Linked DNA regions of Arabidopsis thaliana. The protein of the gene in region 1 interacts with the protein of each later gene in a pairwise test. Each region holds a gene or a part of one and is shown in the gene's direction. Other genes may lie near its edges. The genes, in order: EXO70H1, AT5G51110, ADAP and AT3G56270.

What was found.
Region 2: the proteins of EXO70H1 (region 1) and AT5G51110 interact in a two-hybrid assay, tested with the Arabidopsis thaliana proteins (one large-scale study listed by BioGRID).
Region 3: the proteins of EXO70H1 (region 1) and ADAP interact in a two-hybrid assay, tested with the Arabidopsis thaliana proteins (one large-scale study listed by BioGRID).
Region 4: the proteins of EXO70H1 (region 1) and AT3G56270 interact in a two-hybrid assay, tested with the Arabidopsis thaliana proteins (one large-scale study listed by BioGRID).

Annotation. Positions count from the first base shown.
Region 1 is NC_003074.8:20,439,960-20,444,446, reverse strand, and holds EXO70H1 (exocyst subunit exo70 family protein H1), read left to right. Parts: upstream 1-1,796; 5' UTR 1,797-1,881; coding exon 1,882-3,792; 3' UTR 3,793-3,956; downstream 3,957-4,487. Other genes in the region: AT3G55140 (Pectin lyase-like superfamily protein), read right to left, coding at 4,222-4,458.
Region 2 is NC_003076.8:20,776,960-20,781,207, reverse strand, and holds AT5G51110 (Transcriptional coactivator/pterin dehydratase), read left to right. Parts: upstream 1-1,719; 5' UTR 1,720-1,827; coding exon 1,828-2,202; intron 2,203-2,526; coding exon 2,527-2,722; intron 2,723-2,800; coding exon 2,801-2,892; 3' UTR 2,893-3,204; coding exon of another isoform or gene 3,205-3,576; 3' UTR 3,577-3,707; downstream 3,708-4,248. Other genes in the region: PABN1 (polyadenylate-binding protein 1), read right to left, coding at 1-12, 115-233, 318-509, 754-812, 889-1,011, 1,091-1,193, 1,293-1,448; AT5G51105 (ECA1 gametogenesis family protein (DUF1278)), read right to left, coding at 3,205-3,576. UniProt on the Arabidopsis thaliana protein: Involved in tetrahydrobiopterin biosynthesis. Interacts with and acts downstream of the E3 ubiquitin-protein ligase SDIR1 in abscisic acid (ABA) and salt stress signaling.
Region 3 is NC_003070.9:5,506,434-5,512,251, forward strand, and holds ADAP (ARIA-interacting double AP2 domain protein), read left to right. Parts: upstream 1-1,877; 5' UTR 1,878-2,129; coding exon 2,130-2,320; intron 2,321-2,400; coding exon 2,401-2,483; exon of another isoform or gene 2,484-2,649; coding exon of another isoform or gene 2,650-2,713; coding exon 2,714-2,722; intron 2,723-2,858; exon of another isoform or gene 2,859-3,160; coding exon 3,161-3,249; exon of another isoform or gene 3,250-3,474; coding exon 3,475-3,548; intron 3,549-3,661; coding exon 3,662-3,712; intron 3,713-3,735; exon of another isoform or gene 3,736-3,784; coding exon of another isoform or gene 3,785-3,813; coding exon 3,814-3,890; exon of another isoform or gene 3,891-4,712; coding exon 4,713-5,176; 3' UTR 5,177-5,302; downstream 5,303-5,818. Other genes in the region: AT1G16040 (phosphatidylinositol-glycan biosynthesis class F-like protein), read left to right, coding at 1-23; TLP8 (tubby like protein 8), read right to left, coding at 5,466-5,541, 5,644-5,711, 5,791-5,818.
Region 4 is NC_003074.8:20,868,025-20,872,654, forward strand, and holds AT3G56270 (WEB family protein (DUF827)), read left to right. Parts: upstream 1-1,975; 5' UTR 1,976-2,195; coding exon 2,196-2,396; intron 2,397-2,690; coding exon 2,691-3,830; 3' UTR 3,831-4,083; downstream 4,084-4,630. Other genes in the region: AT3G56250 (uncharacterized protein), read left to right, coding at 58-132; AT3G56260 (uncharacterized protein), read right to left, coding at 175-768.

The DNA of each region.
Region 1 (4,487 bases):
AGCAAAAGAAATGTTTATATTATTCATCCAAAATGTTGGTTCGTGTCACACGATAATACACATTGTAGAAGGAAGACTAGAAGTAGAACCAGCTACATTAGAGTTTAATGTATCTATATAATAATAAGTCAAAAATACCCACTTGGATTATTATGTTCTTATCATTTTTGGGGTTATCAAAGATACTTTATAAACTTTTGACTTTTGCATTGGCATTGTCTTTACTCCGATGATCTACGCCTGAGAGTTGACCGCTTCACAGTCCAGTCTTCAAATTGTTTTCGCACTTACGATATCATTCATTTCTGATTCGTTAGGGCTCCCCCAAGCTTACAATCTTCCTTAGTAAAGTTTGGGAAAAAAACAAATAACATAAACATAATCAATCTCAATCTGAAACGAACTAAACACTACTATAGTTCATTTTCTCTCATATGTATATAACAAGATAATTGTCAAAACAAAAACTGTGAGTTGTAATCAAATGATGGCATTGATCAATAGTCATTGCTTTGTTGATTGAAGAAGATTCCACTTTTAAGGAAAAAAGACAGCTACAATAACTAAATTCTTTAAGGTTCGTTAGCAATGTAACCGAATACGTGAAGTAACACTAGCCATTGTTTAAAGAAAGAGAGTCGTCGAAACAAAACGTTGACTAGCTTATATGCTCTTATAATGATTTAGACAACTCACGTATATACGACGTTGAAGCCAAATTAGTTGAAATGTATATGTAAATGTAGTTGACTTTGGTAAGCGAATCTCCATTTTGGTCTTTTAAGAATCTGTAACGCCTGGAAATTGCCAATACCTCCGGTTCGTATATCTTTATATCATGATTTATGAGTGCGTATATTTGACTTTTTCTTGCAAAACCATACATACATAACATGCGAATGTCTTGTGTCTGTGTATATGATATCTAATGTATGGGAAAACTTGGAATATAGGTTTTATTTTCTTCTAGACAAGATCATGAAGTATAGTACGTATCTTTTATGATCATCTTTTTGGTCAGACGAAAGAATATTAGTTTTATATAATACATAATTTGTGATTTGTTTTTCTATCCTCTATAAGCACAAACATATACTATCAGATTATGACACATCAACAGTGCTAATATAACATTAGGCTGTAAAATCAACTTAAATATTTTGTAACACTTTTCTCTTAACTATTACAATAAACGTATAGCTGTTAGTTTGCAAGGACAGCGTTAACAACTTATTGTATCATAGTATTGATTCAAAACGTTAATTACTGTGATAACTATAACTTATTAACTGAAATGCAGACGTTGACAGACACACAAGAATTGAAATGTAGAAACGCGTTTATATAAGAGAACGCTAAATATATAAATTTCGGACTTTTCTAGTGAAACTCTATTAGTCTTCTTTTTTTTCTTTGGTCAAAAAACTTCCAATACGAAATTCGAACAAGAAGTATAATTAGTGATCAATAATGCGAATGATGCAATAAAAAGTCAAATGAAATGAAATTGATGAATTTAACTGTTATATAAAATTATAAGTTGACAGAATGAAATAGTCATATAATTCTAGTTCTAGACGTGGATAGCAAAAACTTTGTCGCCCATATGTATATAAAATTTGTACTCTAGTTATCTTTTAAGTATATAAGGCTTATATTATACATCGAAGTCAATGGTTCTTTGTGGTCTGGGTCTATAATCACAGGTAAGCACATCGTCATCGATTTCATTTTCAAAGTCAAGACCAATCTCGCTCTCTATATAATTGTTAAAAACCATCTTTCTAATTAAAATAGAAAGAGTAAAAGCCAAGTAACACCATTTTAAAAGGCTTCGCTTTCAATTCAGAAAGAAGAGAATAGAGAGCTTCTTCTTCTTCAATGGCGAAAATGGCGAAATTTTCTTTCTTCTCTTCGTCATCTCCTAAATATCATCCTTCTTCGCCTTCTTCATTCACTTCTTTCCCGGCTTCTCCTCTAAACCAGAACTTTACTCAGGCTATGATGGAGGAAACCGTGGAGACAGCGGACTCCGTCATCAGAAAATGGGACCCGAACACGCCTTCCTTCACCAAGATTGTCTCTCTGTTCAACCATAGCAGGAAGGAGGCTAAAGAGTTCATCAGATGTGTCCGTGATTTGCGCAGAGCGATGCACTTTCTTGTCTCTCAAGACTCTCAATCTCCAAAGCTTGCTCTAGCTCAGACCCTGATGCAGATCGCCATGGCAAGGCTCGAAAAAGAGTTCTTCCAGATATTATCTTCAAACAGAGACAAGCTTGATCCTGAATCAGTTTCCGGTCAATCCTCAATCTCCAGCAATTCTGAATTTGAAGATGTTATGGGATCTGACGACGACGATGAAAGTGACAATGAGATGAGGAAAGCTGGCGAATCGATCACTCAGGTTGAGAAAGCTTCAGCTATGGTGATGTCTGACCTTAAGGCGATAGCAGAGAGTATGATAAGTTGCGGATATGGTAAGGAGTGCGTAAAGATTTATAAGCGGGTCAGAAAATCTATTGTAGATGAAGGGCTGAGCTTGCTCGGGATTGAAATCTACAAAGGCTCCAGATTTCACAGAACGGACTGGGTCACGCTCGAGCATATGATCAAGAACTGGATAAAAGCTGCAAAGATTGGCATTGCCACGCTCTTCCGTGGAGAGAAACTTCTTTGTGATCATGTCTTTTCTGCTTCCAATTCAACAAGGGAGTCATGCTTCTACGAGATTGCAAACGAAGCAGCCACTAACCTTTTCAAGTTCCCTGAATTTGTTGCCAAGGAGAAGAAATCGCACGAGAGGATCTTCCCGCTAATGGATCTGCAGGCTGCAATCTCTGATCTCTGGCAAGACATAGAGATGATATTCCACTTTGATGCAGTAGCTGGTGTGAAATCTCAGGCGCTCACATCGCTGCAAAAACTAAAGGTCTCAATCCACAGTGCTCTCACGGATTTTGAATCAATCATTCAGAAAGATACGACGAAAGCTCTAACACCTGGAGGAGGGATTCATAAACTGACACGATCAACAATGAACTTCATCTCTTCCCTTTCTAAGTACAGCGGAGTCTTGTCGGAAATCCTAGCAGACCATCCACTCCCGAGAAACACTCGCCTGCTGGAATCCTATGTCAGAGCTCCAATTTCGGAAGATGAACAACACAATCACGCACTCTCTGTCCATTTTGCTTGGCTAATCCTGGTTTTGCTATGCAAACTAGACACCAAAGCAGAGCATTACAAGGATGTTTCTTTGTCTTACCTTTTCCTTGCAAACAACCTTCAGATCATCATTGAAACGGTTGGTTCAACTCCCCTAAGGAATCTCCTTGGAGATGATTGGCTCAATAAGCACGAAGATAAACTCTGCGCTTATGCTGGGAATTATGAGATAGCAGCATGGTCCAATGTTTTCATGTCTTTACCAGAAGAACCCACAGACCTATCACCAGAGGAAGCTAAAATATATTTCAGAAGATTTCACACGGCATTTGAGGAAGCATATATGAAACAATCATCACGAGTTGTACCAAATGCGAAACTTAGGGACGAACTAAAGGTTTCAATAGCAAAGAAACTTGTACCAGAATACAGAGAGTTTTACAGGAAGTACTTACCAATGCTCGGCCAGGAGAGAAACATTGAGATCTTGGTGAGATTCAAGCCAGATAATTTGGAGAATTACATCTCTGATCTTTTCCACGGTACACCAATTCATGCATCCTCTTCTTTTTCTTCATCTTCTTCCTCTTCATCCTGGAAATCACTTGGGTGTGTTTCAGGCTGAGAGACTTGATCCATAGTTTTGGCTAAATATTCCATTTTTTACATGATGTGAAGTGAAAAAAATGTAGATACGTGTGTTTGCATTGTGTGTGCAACAGAAAATGAGAACAAAAAAAAAAAAATGAGATTTTCTTTACATAATTTATGACGAGTTCTTCATTATCTAAGAAAAAACAAACTTGCGATACGCTTTAAGAATAAAACGAGTAGTCTCTAATAACCGAAGCTGATATAAATCTGATAAAGAATTCGATTCAGTGATATACATTCAAGAAGCCAATTACAAATCACAAAGAAGAAAAAGGCATAAAAAATCACACACAGCATACTGTAAACATAATGTGCTGAAGAACAAAAGCATTATTCACTCCTTCAATAACTAGAAAAAGAAGGAAATATGATATGCAAGAAAACATTTGAATCGCAACTATTACTTAGGAACTCCATGATCAGAAGGACGGGACAAAGATTGCCAACCGGTACAAATTTGCATGATTTGCTTGAGAGTTTCTGATGGTGGCTCCACAGTCCATGTTGGGTAGTGTTCACTTGGATGGAATACACATTCTTCACTGGCTCCTGTCATCAAGGAAGGTTGAGCTCCATTCAAGAACAAGTCATTTTCAGATCGTACTAACCCAGTTCTCGCTTCTTCCTTGTCAGCAGCCTACAAACAAACTCACACAAGATGATGGT
Region 2 (4,248 bases), on another chromosome or scaffold:
CTGGGAACTCTCCTGCACAAACCATCAACCATTGTCAATTTTATGAACAACCATGATGAATCAAACAAATGGACTTTAAAAGAGAGGATAGGCAGGTAAGGTTCTAGAACACACCCATAAGCATATGGAGGATAAAATGGAACTCCTGGCATGAATCCCCTCATCGGTCTAAAGGGACGCCCTCTTCCTCGAAATTGCCTCATTCCAGGTACATTAGTCCTCTTTGCAGATACCTGAAAATAGATTAAACAAAGTTTAGTAATGACAAATCGTAATATGGAAAATAATTAACTACATCGTATTGAACGAGTTTGCACCTTTATCTGACGACCATGTAGTTCTGACTCGTTCAAAATAAGCGAATTCTGAACAGCTTCTACTTCCACAAATTCGACATACGCAAAACCTTTAGGTTGACCAAACTTATCTGTCAGAATTGTAACCCTATTCACTGTCCCACATGATTGAAAATGCTGCTGGACTTCCTCTGGAGTACATGCATAGTCCACCTAATATACACAAAAAAACAAAGACACAGGATATCTAAAGAATCAGCTTCACAGATGGGAGATATGAAGGCTTTCTGAAATATGAAGGAAAGTTAGTTTAGCAATTACTAGAGATAAAGAAATAAACAACAAGCAGCCTCCAAATTTCATTGATACCAAAGCAATAAAACACACAAACTTTCTTTAAAAAAGATACAAACATATATGAGAAACATGTGAAAATTAATGGTGGAACAAGCCTCACATTGCCAACATATATTGAACGCGAATCCACTTCTTCCTTCTCAGCCGCACTAACACCACCTGAAGGGTCTTCATTGATATGCAACAACATAAAAGGTATTGACCCAATTAGCTAACTGACAAGACTCCACAATACTATTAATGATTTCCTTCTCATACTCAAACTCCAGTAAATTTCTAGACAGATTCATTGATTCACTAAAAGATTCCAATATGTAAACCCAAAGCAATATCATAATCAACAAGACAAGCTTTAAACCTAATCTATCAATTTAAAGGTTAATGTGAAGCTGCGCACAAAGATTCAAGATTTTACGTATCAGTTAATAAGTACAAACCTTGACTAGCACCCATATCTTTCTCAGCCTTGGCTTGCATTTCACGCAAAGCTCCAGCTTCTTCCTCAATCTCCTTAATTCGTTTCTTCATATCCTCCAAGTCCTATCAAACAATCAAAGCAAATAACAGACTAAATACAGTAAAAAATAAGAAGAGTCTCAATTGGATAAAAGTAAATTATAGATCGAAGAATCACAATACCCTAGAGCTAGAGCCAGGTTCAAGCTCCTCATCTCCGGCGGCGGCACCTTCTTCTCCGCCGTGTTCTTCGTACTCTTCCGTATCCATCTCACCTTCTTCCTCTTCTGGGATCTCTCCACCGTACACCTCATGCTCTTGCTCATCGTGCACCGGCATCTTTCTCTCTCTATATCTCTCACTCGGCGACTGTCGTTAAAGCGAGAAACAGAAGTCTCGGAATTTTAGGGCTTGAAATCGGGAAAGAAGGGAAGGTTTGTTTGTAATTAAAGATACCCAAAAAGGATACTTTCGGAATTATGAAATCTTAAGTAGATTCACCAAAAGTGGACACAAAAGTACAATCAAACCCAATGGGCTTCTCAGATTAAAACGTGACGTGTAAAGTCGGTCCCACGAAAGTTTATTGTGGTTCCCATTAGTCATTAGTGATTACGTGGCACCTCACCCATTTAACTCAGTCCAGTGGTCTGAAAATCGTTTCGCTCTCTAAAAACCAAAACTCTTATCTTCGGTACAGAGCAAATCACAGCTCCCGATGGCCGCCACGTCATCATCACCGCCGTGTAACATCTCCGCGTCCTCCCTCCTCCTCCGTCAACCTTCTCGCTCAATCCTTAAAGTGTTCGGTTTATTACCACCTGTAAGTAGGAATAACCGTAAACTCGGCCGGTTAACGGTGACCCGGTCTAATCTGGCGCAGGATTTTCTTGGTGACTTCGGAGCTCGTGACCCTTACCCGGAGGAGATAGCGAGTCAATTCGGAGATAAAGTGTTGGGATGCCAAAGCACTGAGCACAAGATTTTGATACCAAACGCATCTGTTTTGTCTCTCTCCCAGCTTCAGTGTTCCCCTGTTTCGTCTTCACAGCCTCCTTTGTCCGGCGATGATGCCAGAACTCTCCTCCACAAGGTACTTATACTATTTCTCTCTTAGTATAAAAATGTTCGAGTTTTGATTTTACAAGTTTGTTGGTTGATCAAAATATTGTGAAAATGTTATTGATTCTGCGTTTAACAGATTTCTAATCTATAAAGATAGAATTGTGACCCAAAAATATAGAAAAGCCAATGAAAATTTTAGTATCATGAGGGACATATTAGGAACAATGGTTACGAGATTAAAAAAAAATGAAATGATTAGTGTTGATAAGGCTCATGTTGGTGTTTTGGTTCACGGTTACCACTCTAATGATGTGGTACATCAATCTCAATGATTATTATGTAAACGTTTTAGGTTTTGGGATGGAGTATAGTGGATAATGAAGCGGGTGGTCTGAAAATAAGGTGTATGTGGAAAGTGAGGGATTTTGGGTGCGGTGTTGAACTCATAAACAGGATCCATAAGGTTGCTGAAGCTTCTGGTCATTACCCTTCTCTTCACTTGGAAAGTCCTACCCAAGTTCGAGCTGAACTATTTACCTCTTCTATCGGTATGTCAAATATTTGATGTTCGAGTTTGAGTTTTAATATATGGTTTCTTAAGACGGTTTGTTGGATGAATAATGCAGGAGGGTTGAGCATGAATGATTTCATAATGGCGGCTAAAATAGATGATATCAAGACTTCTGATCTTTCCCCTAGGAAAAGAGCTTGGGCGTGATCTTCTTTTCATTATTTTGGAACATTTTTGTTTGATAGTATGTAATGTATGTGATGTATTCTAAATTGTGTGTGATCGGTCTACATGTCGAGTTATATAGAAAGCATTGTCATAACCGCATAAGAGATATCACGCAACATGTCTTTGAGATTCATTCATCAATCAAAAGAAGAAAGAACATCAATCATATGGAGCACAATATAAGAAATGAGACATTATTATTAGATTAAGACATTATTATTATCATTTCTTCTTCTAGAACATTCTGGGACTAACAAAAAATTCGAAAAAACACAACTACATTTTTGCATTCTAATAGGCGGTGGTGGTTGGAGGACTAGCCATTTTGGAGCATTGGTGTTTCATCATAGGAGGGAAAAACGGGTTGGATGGAAGATTTGGTAAGCAGTTAGCTTCAGCGTCAAGGAAAGCTTTACAACAAGCAGGACCAACGCCTTCAAATTTGCCGGACATTACGGCTTGTTGAATCTCTTCAAAGCATCCCGGCAAATCCATCACTGTTGACCAACATTTGCTCAAGTCGGGACTTCCTGCCATACCGGGACTTGGTTTGAACGGATTTGGAAACGGGAACATGATTGGGGGAAACTGCGGTAGCTGAGCATTAACGGAGGCTGCGATGCATACAACTACTAGGAGAGAAACAACACTCTTGATCGACATGATGAATATTTGGGGGACTATGCAACAAGAGAAATAGATGACTTGAGTTTTGTTTGATGAGATAAAGTTATTGGCTATGAGATCCAATTTATACTGTAATTAGTTTGGCGAAACGTATTTTTAAAAGTTGCTTTCAAAATCAAATTTGTCGTTTTAATTTTGGAAGAAAATCAAAAATAGTCAAAACGTTTGATGCACATTGAATTTGATGCTGTCATATTTCTCATATGTAAAGAAATAAATCTTTCCTAACAATATGATAGGAAATAATACAAAGATGACAGAAGGGAAGCAGTAACAAATTTTAAGTCTCTTTCGTCTTTATTCATCTTGATATATATCATCTCCTAATTTTTTTTTTGAGATTTTATTTACATTCATAGCAAGAAAAAGAAAAAAATCTTTTCAATTTAGGAATTGTTTTTCTTCCAACTTTTTGGAATCCTCTATATAGTAAAAGATGTGGCAAGCCCATAATTGTTCTCATCATTTTTATTTTTCATTTATTGAATATAATATACTCATTGTCAAACACTATTAATTCCACTATCCTTATCCTTATCCTTATTATTTTTTAAACCAAACATATTTTAATATTAAATACACCATCCAAAAATAATATTTTCGGATTTCTAAATATTTAGCTTATAGAAAGATTTCTTATTTATCAAA
Region 3 (5,818 bases), on another chromosome or scaffold:
ACAAGAATTTGAAGCTAGCCTAGAATAGATTGATCGTCTCTGGATCGGCAGAATGAGTGTCATTTTGTTTTGACTTGATTGCTAGATGGAGAGACAACAATAGGGCAAAGGTTTTTGTTAGCTTGGACAAATTTTGTTATATTCCACATCGAATCAAGTGTTCAAGAGAATTGCAACATTCTAAAGTCAACAACGATCACAGACTTGAAAGACAAAATTCAGACGAACGTAGGGAAATTGTAAATGATAATAAGCATCTCTATATACGCAGCCGACAACCGTTAGAATTTAGAAAACTAACAAAAATAAAAGGATAGAAAACTTCTCCTTTTGAATCAAAAAAGGAAAAGAAAAGATTCTCCTATTTTATTTCTGTTAAATCTAGATTTCGTATGCAAATAGTTGGGACTGATGCGAACTTGCGAAGCACAGTATTTGACTGTACGAGTCATCTACCACGGCCAGACTCTGTCGGATGACGTGGCGTGTAATTATTGGCTGACAGGACCTCAGTTGTGTCATCGTTTCACGTATATGGTTAAATGCTGCCAAGTGCAACCTCTGAAACATGGACCAACGCCGTAAAAAGATGGCATACCCGAAACTAGGCGGTGACCATTGCCTTGCTTGCATTTCTCATTTATATCTCATGCATCGTTTTCTCTTCTTTTTTTCCTGTAGACAACTAAAAAAAATATTGGTTTCAAGTTTGTAGACAAGTTAAAACATAATTACAAGAAAACTCATACCACTAAACGTTAGACTATAAGTTATATTAACGAAATGATAAAATGTTATATATTTGGAGTTCATTGGTTGTATGTCAGATCAATGTATATTTTTGATTAGTTGTTAGAGTAGGGGACGAACTAATTATGTGGACAAATTAAAATAATGTTTTTATTTATGTTGTCTTATCTATTTATAATTCGTAATTCATATTTCAACAAGTATGGTGTTATTCCCAATCTCATTAGGTTCTAAATAGATATATCAAATTTGATATTTTGTCAAGTGTATTTCTTAAGTTGCTGATTAGTTGCATATCTTAACACGCAAAATATCATGTGGCCCGTTTTAGATTGGACTGTTGTAGACCATTTTTACCATAATTGTTGACATTTGCTCCCATCTAGTTAAGGGGCAGGTATACACATTAAATTACAATTTGTGTTATTCAATAAAAAACTATAAGAAAACACTGTATTAACCTTATAAGAAATGCACTCGTAAAAACATGACGTTCATCATGTAACTTTTATAATGATGTTCTACTTTCTGTTATAAAAAAAAACCTAAACATATACTCAAAATATATGGGAGTTCCAATGTTTAAAGTTTAATTAAGGCTATTGCCTTATTTCTTGCAAATTTTTTTGTTTTGTTTGGGTTAAAGATGCATATGCATTACATGTTATATTTTGCATATTTTTAGAACATAATTCAAATATTTCGGTGGTAAGTCTCTGTTCCATTCCATCAATTAATTAGGAATTTGGAATTAGAGAACTAGGAGTTTAGCAATGTTATTATCATATTACTTGGAAATGTGTTTTTAGAGCAAAACGATTGCTAAAATAATTGGAAGGAAATATTAAATATAATGGAACAAAAAAATGTAAACTATATAATAATAATAATAAGATCGTTCTTTAGCATTACATTATATATCTTTCACGGCCCGACCAAAAAGTAGATAAACCAAGAAGTGGAGAAATTATGAAGCTCCGATTTTGCTTGCCTACTTTCTCCAAGATTTTTGGCTCAGCGGATCTAAACTTCCACATGTCAATTCCTCATTTGTTCTGAATTAAAAACACGAATTAAAAGCTATATATTGAAAACAAATAAAATGGCTAAATCGCTTAATATCAGGTCTAAATGGTTTGATTACGATTAGGAATTTTAATAAATGAGAAATCTAATTACAGAAGTACAAAGAGGGCCGTAGCAAAGGAAATCTTTTAAAGCAATAGCAATTAAAAAGGCTAAAAAAAATAAAACGGAAAATTATAATTTTAAATACTCAACCATTTCTCTTTATAGTTTCCTTATAAAACAAAAACAAAAACCATTCCATCAATTTCTCATCCTTGTTGTTTTCTTCTTCTTCTTCTTCCTCTTCTTTTATGTTCATCGCCGTCGAAGTTTCTCCGGTAATGGAAGACATCACACGGCAGAGCAAAAAAACTTCGGTTGAGAATGAAACCGGCGATGATCAGTCAGCAACATCAGTAGTCCTTAAAGCTAAACGCAAACGCCGATCGCAACCACGAGACGCTCCACCCCAACGTAGCTCCGTCCATAGAGGCGTCACAAGGTTAACATGAGAACAAAACACACTCAAAACGTCACCGTTTTTGTTTATCTTTACTTAATCATATAACTTTCCGATTATAGGCATCGATGGACTGGAAGGTACGAAGCACATTTGTGGGATAAGAATAGTTGGAACGAAACTCAGACCAAGAAAGGAAGACAAGGTCAGTCTATACATACACACATATCTATATATCTTTATGAGTTATTAAAGATATTGTCGTTTTGATCTTCAACTCCGATTTCTCCGGGGAATGAGTTCGTCGTTACTGTTCTTGATTTGAAAATTAATTATATCTTATTTTGTATTTTTTGTTCTTGTTGGTTAATATGTTTTTTTTTTTGGTTTTGCTGACGATGCTGACCGGAATAATGGCTGACTCATCACGTGCAGTATATTTAGGTGAGTTTGTTTTGGTCATTTTTCATATGGCGTTTTCTTTTTGCACTCTCAAATTGGTAGACACTTTTTAGAGTGAGTGATGCTAATTAATTATCACCTCTAATTATAAAAAAACAAACGTTACTTCTCAGTTCTTTATAAAGCCAACTTGGTGGTTCTAAACAAAAGCATACATGTTAACATCTATGGCGTGACAAAAACAAACAAATGATCTGATAATTCTTAAAAGTACATTTCGATTTGTCTTTTTCAAATGTGCTTAGTCACAAATTGAAAATCAACCCCAAACATTTTTGCTACTTCACCTTTATGTTTACAATTGACATATGTAGTTTTTTAAGAAAATATTTACGTAATATATAGTATTTTAATACGTAAATGAAAAGAAATCAAGATTTAAACCAATGTTTAATTAATGTATTAATGTGGTTTGCACAGGGGCATATGACGAGGAAGATGCAGCAGCACGTGCCTACGACTTAGCAGCATTGAAATATTGGGGACGAGACACCATCTTGAACTTCCCTGTAAATTTTCTCGGAATCCTAGTTAATACTTAAAAACATTAAATAATTAGAAAGTAGTTACTATTCACATGATCTTTGTTTGCTTCACAATCTTTCTTACATATGTGTTCTTATAGAAAGAAACACAAAGAAAGAAGAAGAGTCTGTTTATATCTAATTCTTGCTTCTTCTTTTTTTTTTTTTATAGTTCTAATAACTATTGTTTATTTTGTGTGTGATTTATAGTTGTGTAATTATGAAGAAGACATCAAAGAAATGGAAAGCCAGTCAAAGGAAGAGTATATTGGATCTTTGAGAAGGTAATAACTAAATCACTTTTTTGAATGATTGGTGGTTAACTATAATTCTCTGCTTTCTTTTGGTTAACAAACTAAGTATTGATTAATAATATTTTTTGGATGATTTTTTACAGAAAAAGTAGTGGGTTTTCACGAGGTGTATCAAAATACAGAGGCGTTGCAAAGTAAACCGACTTTAATTCCCCATAATAAAAGACTATAAGAACAATGATCAATTTCAATATTACTAATTTCAAATGTTTGATAAGTTATTATGGACTTGCAGGCATCACCACAATGGGAGATGGGAAGCTCGAATCGGAAGAGTGTTTGGCAATAAATATTTATACCTTGGAACTTACGGTAACTTTTTGAAAACTTTTTTATTTTTTATATACAGTAATTAATGAAAAAAACATGATATCTCCAAACGCAAAACATAACTAGATGAAATTCAAGACAAGTAGAAGTAAATATGCGATTATCATTTGACACATTTGATCAAACTTGTACGTTTTCACTAATGTTTTATCAAACTACTCCTGCATTTGAGTTTATTAGTGGTTAGTTTCCTAACCAAAAAGATTGTATGATACATATATATTTTGATTACAAATTATAAACATTCACTAAATTGGATGGTGGTAAATGGTAGTTGTGATAACAACAAATTCTACAAATGCTATATGTGGGATTCTCTCTTCATTATAACCAAACATTTTTACTTTGAAATCTTTAATAAGGGGTTGATATATGCACGTAATCAGATCTTGTGTTGGTTGGGAAATAGATCACCAAACCCAACCACTTAGTCAAGCCTTTAATTTATTATAGAGTTTGTTTTTCCTTATGTTTATACATATTTATTTATTGTATGGTTTAAATTATAAGTTGCTCATCCAATTTTACTGGCCAATTTAATTCTATTTATTATATGTTTTACATATTGTCCTATATCAACGGGACAAAGTACATTTTCAAAAAAATCTAACGTGATTATTGACTTGTAGCATTTTCATTTTGTTGTTGTTGGCATTATTCACTTGTGTAGCACAATATTACGTATTAGGCAAATCCATAATAGTTTGGGGAGTAAAACGTAATAATTAACAAACCAAAGAATTAGAAGTTTCATAAATTGTCTTAAACTTCTCAATGTGACATTTTGCACCCCTTTTATTGTAGCGACGCAAGAAGAAGCAGCTATAGCGTACGATATCGCAGCTATCGAGTACCGTGGACTCAACGCCGTTACTAACTTCGACATCAGCCGTTATCTGAAACTCCCGGTGCCGGAGAACCCTATCGATACCGCGAATAATCTCCTCGAGAGTCCGCATTCTGATCTTAGCCCATTTATAAAACCTAACCACGAGTCTGACTTATCACAGAGTCAATCTTCGTCAGAGGACAACGATGATCGGAAAACAAAGCTCTTGAAGTCGTCACCTTTAGTGGCAGAGGAGGTAATCGGACCATCGACGCCACCTGAGATTGCTCCGCCTCGTCGGAGCTTCCCGGAAGATATCCAGACGTATTTCGGGTGTCAAAACTCCGGCAAGTTAACGGCGGAGGAAGATGATGTTATCTTCGGTGATTTAGATTCTTTCCTTACGCCTGATTTCTACAGCGAGTTAAATGATTGCTAAAGTGTTGTTCTTCTGATAAGTTTTGTTTTTTAGTTGTTCAGAATCTCGGTTGTGAAAATCAACATTGACACATCGATTATTCTTTCTTGTGACAATCTTATATAATAAAGTTTGAATCTTTTTAACAGTTGTCCACTTTCAGTTTCCTCTGATGGTGAATTTGATTTGAGAGGTACTGAGGTAGTTTGTGAAACTCAGATAGAGGAATTGTTTATGTAGAAAAGTAAGGTATACAGATGATGATCATTGGAGGGATGTTCAGAGATTGAACTCGTCCGTTTATTAATGATCAAACAGTACAACAAAGCTTGGAATCAATAGAAGCCAAGCAAATGCAGAATGCTTGGTAGCCTGAGAATGGATACCTGCAAACAGATAAAGCAAAAGACTTTTAGATGATAAAGCCTTTAATCCTAAGCTTATAAGTATGTTTATGTTTGGCTCATTCTGGTTTGAGCAAGTAGTACCTGAAGTCGATTACATATCTTGCTTTGTCAACTCTCCCCATTTGAAGAATTGTCTGCCTTGGAGTCTCCTGCTTATACCAAATTACACAATGTTTAGGATTCTTGAGATTGGTTTTTGATCAAAGCTTTAAAGTTGTGGAAATGCACCGTGAGTGTTAGCTGAAAGTTCTTCACC
Region 4 (4,630 bases), 430 kb from region 1:
ACGTTCTTGGTTCTACTTAGACATGAATTGACGAAAAAGCCTGTCCACAATACACAGGTAAGGCCACGACTGAGAGACAAACTATATACTTACATTCACACACCAATAACTATAACACTCTCTGTTCAATGAGGCGAAGCAGCTCATAGAAAAAACCAAGCTTTATTCACATAATCAAGCTTTATTCATGTCGCTGATGATTAGAGCTTTACCTGTGGTCTCATGTCTCTTCATACCCTCCATTGACCCAGAGAACAGAGCTCTTGTCACACTCCCCATTGAAGAACTACAGCCAAGTCTTCCCCCGTTGGAGCAACACAGAGTCGAGGTTGGTGAAGACCTAAGCTCATCCTCTTCGTAGTTAGCGTACAGAAGTGGCGATTTTTTGTCGTGACTCATACGTTTTTTCAAAGAATGTGGTGGCGAGGAGGAAAAGGAAGATGAAGATGACGTAGAAGACCAAGAAAACGATGAGCTTGCCGTCTTCTTGCTACCGTGATTGCTCCTCCTGAGATCACTGAACATGGAGAAGGACAGAAACTTACTTAGTTTTGATCTCACCTTGCTTTGCGTCCTTGGTGTCGACAAAATCCCGGAGGAGTAGTATGAGGGCGGCGGTGTGAGAGGCAGAGGAAGAGAGGAATCGGAGCAGAGGTGGTTTTTGGGTGTTCCTGGCCTTGACTCCCATATGAATGGTATGGAGGCTCCGCCATAGTAGGAGGATCTCTCTTCATCGATTGCAAAGTCATCTTCTAGTCTTTCTGACATCTGTTTTTTATAAACTCTCGGTTTATGTTTGAGTCGGCTTTTGATGAGAATTGATGTACGAAAATTGAAACAACAAGTGCTAGTTTCGAAGCTTCTTTAGAGGTGACAAAGAGTAATATGTATTGCGAGTAAAACAAGTTTGCCGATGAAACAAAAGAATCTTCTTTGCACGGTTGTATATAATCGTGGATATTTATTCTGCTTTTTTATTTTCTTTAGGAAAAATTCATATGGATGAGCATATTACAAGTATATGGAAGATCATACATAGGGGAAAAAATTGGTTAGATAATAAATGAAAGGTGGCTATCTTACTGTATGCATTACTTAATGCGTTTTCATTAATAATAAGAGAGTCGTGAGGTGAGGATCACATTATTGGTAAACAGTTACTGTAGTAAGCATTGCTTAGAGTATTTAATATGTTACCTTTTGTGGGATTCCACTCTATAAACCTTTTTATTTGGTGTTCTTATAATTAAGGAAATAATTATTGACCAACAAATCCACACGTTTTAATATATATCAAGACTACTAACCTTGTTTGTCGTAATTTGAAACTACTGACCAAAAGTTTGGGGCATGTTCATCCAAAAGATATAATGGTTTACATTTAATGAAATGATAATTTAGATAGGATATAATAGGGAACTACTCAGAGTGTCAGACCAAACCATCTGAATACGTACCAATGTCAAGTGCTAACTGGTAACTCCCAACAATAGTAATTAGAAAAGATATATATATTTGTCGGTTCTAATTAGTTGGAAGAAACGTATGCGGAGAAATAAATAGAAACGTGAGAGATCGAAAGACGACGGTGATGAATTTGGACGGTTGAGTGAGGGAGGTCGTATAATTTAATGGTCGTTTCCAATCGTATTCGTACGTGGTCCGTTTTCTCCTACTCGGATTTTGCTTTAATGTGATGGCCACACAAATTGGTTAGAAAACTATAAGGGAAAGCTCCACCTATTTATTTCACTCATACATTTACTATACACTAATATCGCACGGGAAAATTATAACAATTTTCGGATATTCGTATTTGAACAGAAACAAACAACACATACGTAAGAATTTCCTTCACAAAAAAGCCCAATATAGACGAACTTGAACTTCGTACCAACGGCCCAATATCGCTTCCTTAATCAACGGCCCAAAATTTTCATTTATTAATTAATCAGATAACCAATCAATAGAAGCCACGTCGCCACAGCCATTAGTAGTAGCATCATCAAAGCCTGCATTCTTGTTCTTCGAGTCTCTCTCGTGAGTGACTTTCATTACCGAGAAAAACACAATCATAGAGAAGCTCTCAATCTTGTTTGCTTCTGATCAGTAACTATGATTACTGTAAATAGATCACTCTTTCATTATCTTTCCCTTTCACTTGTACAAACCAATTCGTTCTCGAGCTAACGGAAATGGCGGAGAGGCAACAGAGCCCTGCGGCGGAGACGATTCCCGGTACACCCGTAATCCGGGAAGTGAGAACCGGAACCGGGTCCGAGAATTTCAACCCGGAGAATACAAGGAGAGGATGCTTGAGAGCTGAAATCGACATTTCTCCACAGTTATATGGTGGTCGTGGGTTCTGGGTTCCCTTCAATCTTGAAGACAATTACGTGAGTTCTCTTCTAGTTTCCGATTTACAAAGTCTGTTCATTTAAAGTTTGAGCATTAATGTCACTGAAAGTTTGAAATGTATGTTCTCTAACTGTTAAGTATGCTAACAAACTGAATAACTGATAGCTGATTCGATTTGGTTACTGAGTAGATATTTTGTAATAAGTGATAGCTAATTTGATGTTTGCATTTGCGGCAATTGATTCTGGAACTAGCAAGATGTTATGTAAGATTTTTTTTTGGTATTATATAGCATGATTTGTTTTATGTTTTTTTGGTTTGTCATTCTTCAGGACTGTGTGGGAGAATTTGACATAAAGAGAATGGAAGAACAGACAGTGGAGCTTGAGAAGGATCTGATTATGAAAGAGTTAGAGACTCTGGATCTTCTTGAAGCTCTTGGATCAACCAAAAGGATTTTTGAAGATTTGAAGTGGCAGCTTCAGCAGCAAGCACTGAGATGCAAGGAGACCCCTCAACATTTGCGTTCACACTCCAAAGAGATGGTCGATGAGCACTGCCATCGTAATCCCCTGAAGTCTCCGGATCTGATGACCATGGAAATGAAGCAAGCTGGTATGAATCTTTGTAAAACCATGGATGATCTTGCGTTGATCCACTCTTATGCTGAATCTCTGAATATGAAAACGAAGGAAGAGAAAGATGTCCTTGGAGTAGCGTCTCTAGCGGAGGAACTTAACAGTTTGAAGTTTAAACCAGCAGGTCCTGATCAAGTAGAGAGATTCAATACCGAGAATTTACCAGTGAATCCACAATGTGAACAGATTAAGATGGTAGTTGAAACCTATGATACAGCTTTCCATAAACAGAGCAAAACCTGCCCGAGAACTGCAGATATGAGATTGGTTGCTGCAAGAAAAATGGAAGAGGCAGCAAGAGCAGCGGAAGCACTTGCGCTTGCTGAAATGACCATATTATCCAGCAGAAGAAACCAAGACGCTCTCTGCTTCCCTAAGACACCATGTTTTCCATTAACACTTAAAGCACAGATGAACAAAGAATTATCCACCAATGTCTCAAGAATAGAGATCTTGAGGAAGCTGGAGGAAGCTAACGAAGAAGTTAAACAAAGTAAACAAGCCTTGGAAGTTGCGTTAAACCGGGTAGAAATCGCTAGTGTGAAGCAACTTGAAGCAGAAGAGGCATTTCGGCAGTGGAACATAGAGTCATGGAAAGACCAGAAAGCTGTTGGAGCAAAACGCTCGATGAAAAGAGAAAGCTTTCCTCAGCGCTCTTTCTTGAGCCATATCAATCAGCACGAGCCACTGATCGATCTCCCTGAGCCAATGCTGAAACGTAACGTCTCAATGGGTAATGCTCTTAACCGAAAAGATGAGAAACAGTTGGTCACGCCGAGGAGAAAGTTTAGGTTCATACAAACACATCAAGCTTCCATTAGAAAAACAGAGTAAGCTAAAAAAATACCCAACCTTTGAAAACATGTTTTGCACATTTCGATTCCTGTTTTTTTTTATTCTTGGTTTGATCATTGATGGGTGTTGTTGCTTCCATCAAAAGCAAAACACAGATGATTAGAGTGAGATGTGTTGTTTTGACTCAAATGTGACAAAAAGAAAAACATTATAGTAAAAACTAAAGCTTCTAGTAATCATAATTAATTATGGGAGTTAGTGAAGGGCATTGATCATATGATTTAGGTGGTGGGCACTTTCTTAACTAATGCATTTTAAGTGTTAGATTAGCTAATTAGGTGATCCATAATCAATACCGTAGGTCCTCAACTGTTTATTTTTTAATAACGTTGGTCTTTATAATGTTTCTAGATTCTCAAAATAGAAACTGAAACATTCAGGTTGAACTACGGAGATAAAAACACATTTTACGATTTGACCAGTTTGTACTTTATACTGTATAAGTTTGGAGTGGTCAGATACAGAATGATGACGTGGTCAAGGCTTTTAAGACAATCTAGATATCTCCAATAACTTAATGCCACGTGTTTTAGTCTTCACAACAAAGATTTCGTCTGGAATCCTCGTATTGGCTTAGAGCGTGGGACCAAACGAAACCAAAAGAAGGAAAAGGAACTAAATAAATAAATAATTAAAAAATAAAGTTGAAAAGTAAGAGTGGCGTGGGTTAGCAAAATCATTGTCTCAGGCTAAAATGTGCCACTCCCAACACGTGGGCTACTCTTTTCCAAGTGTCAACTATCTGACGGTACGTTTGCACTTTTTTAAATTAGGTTGCT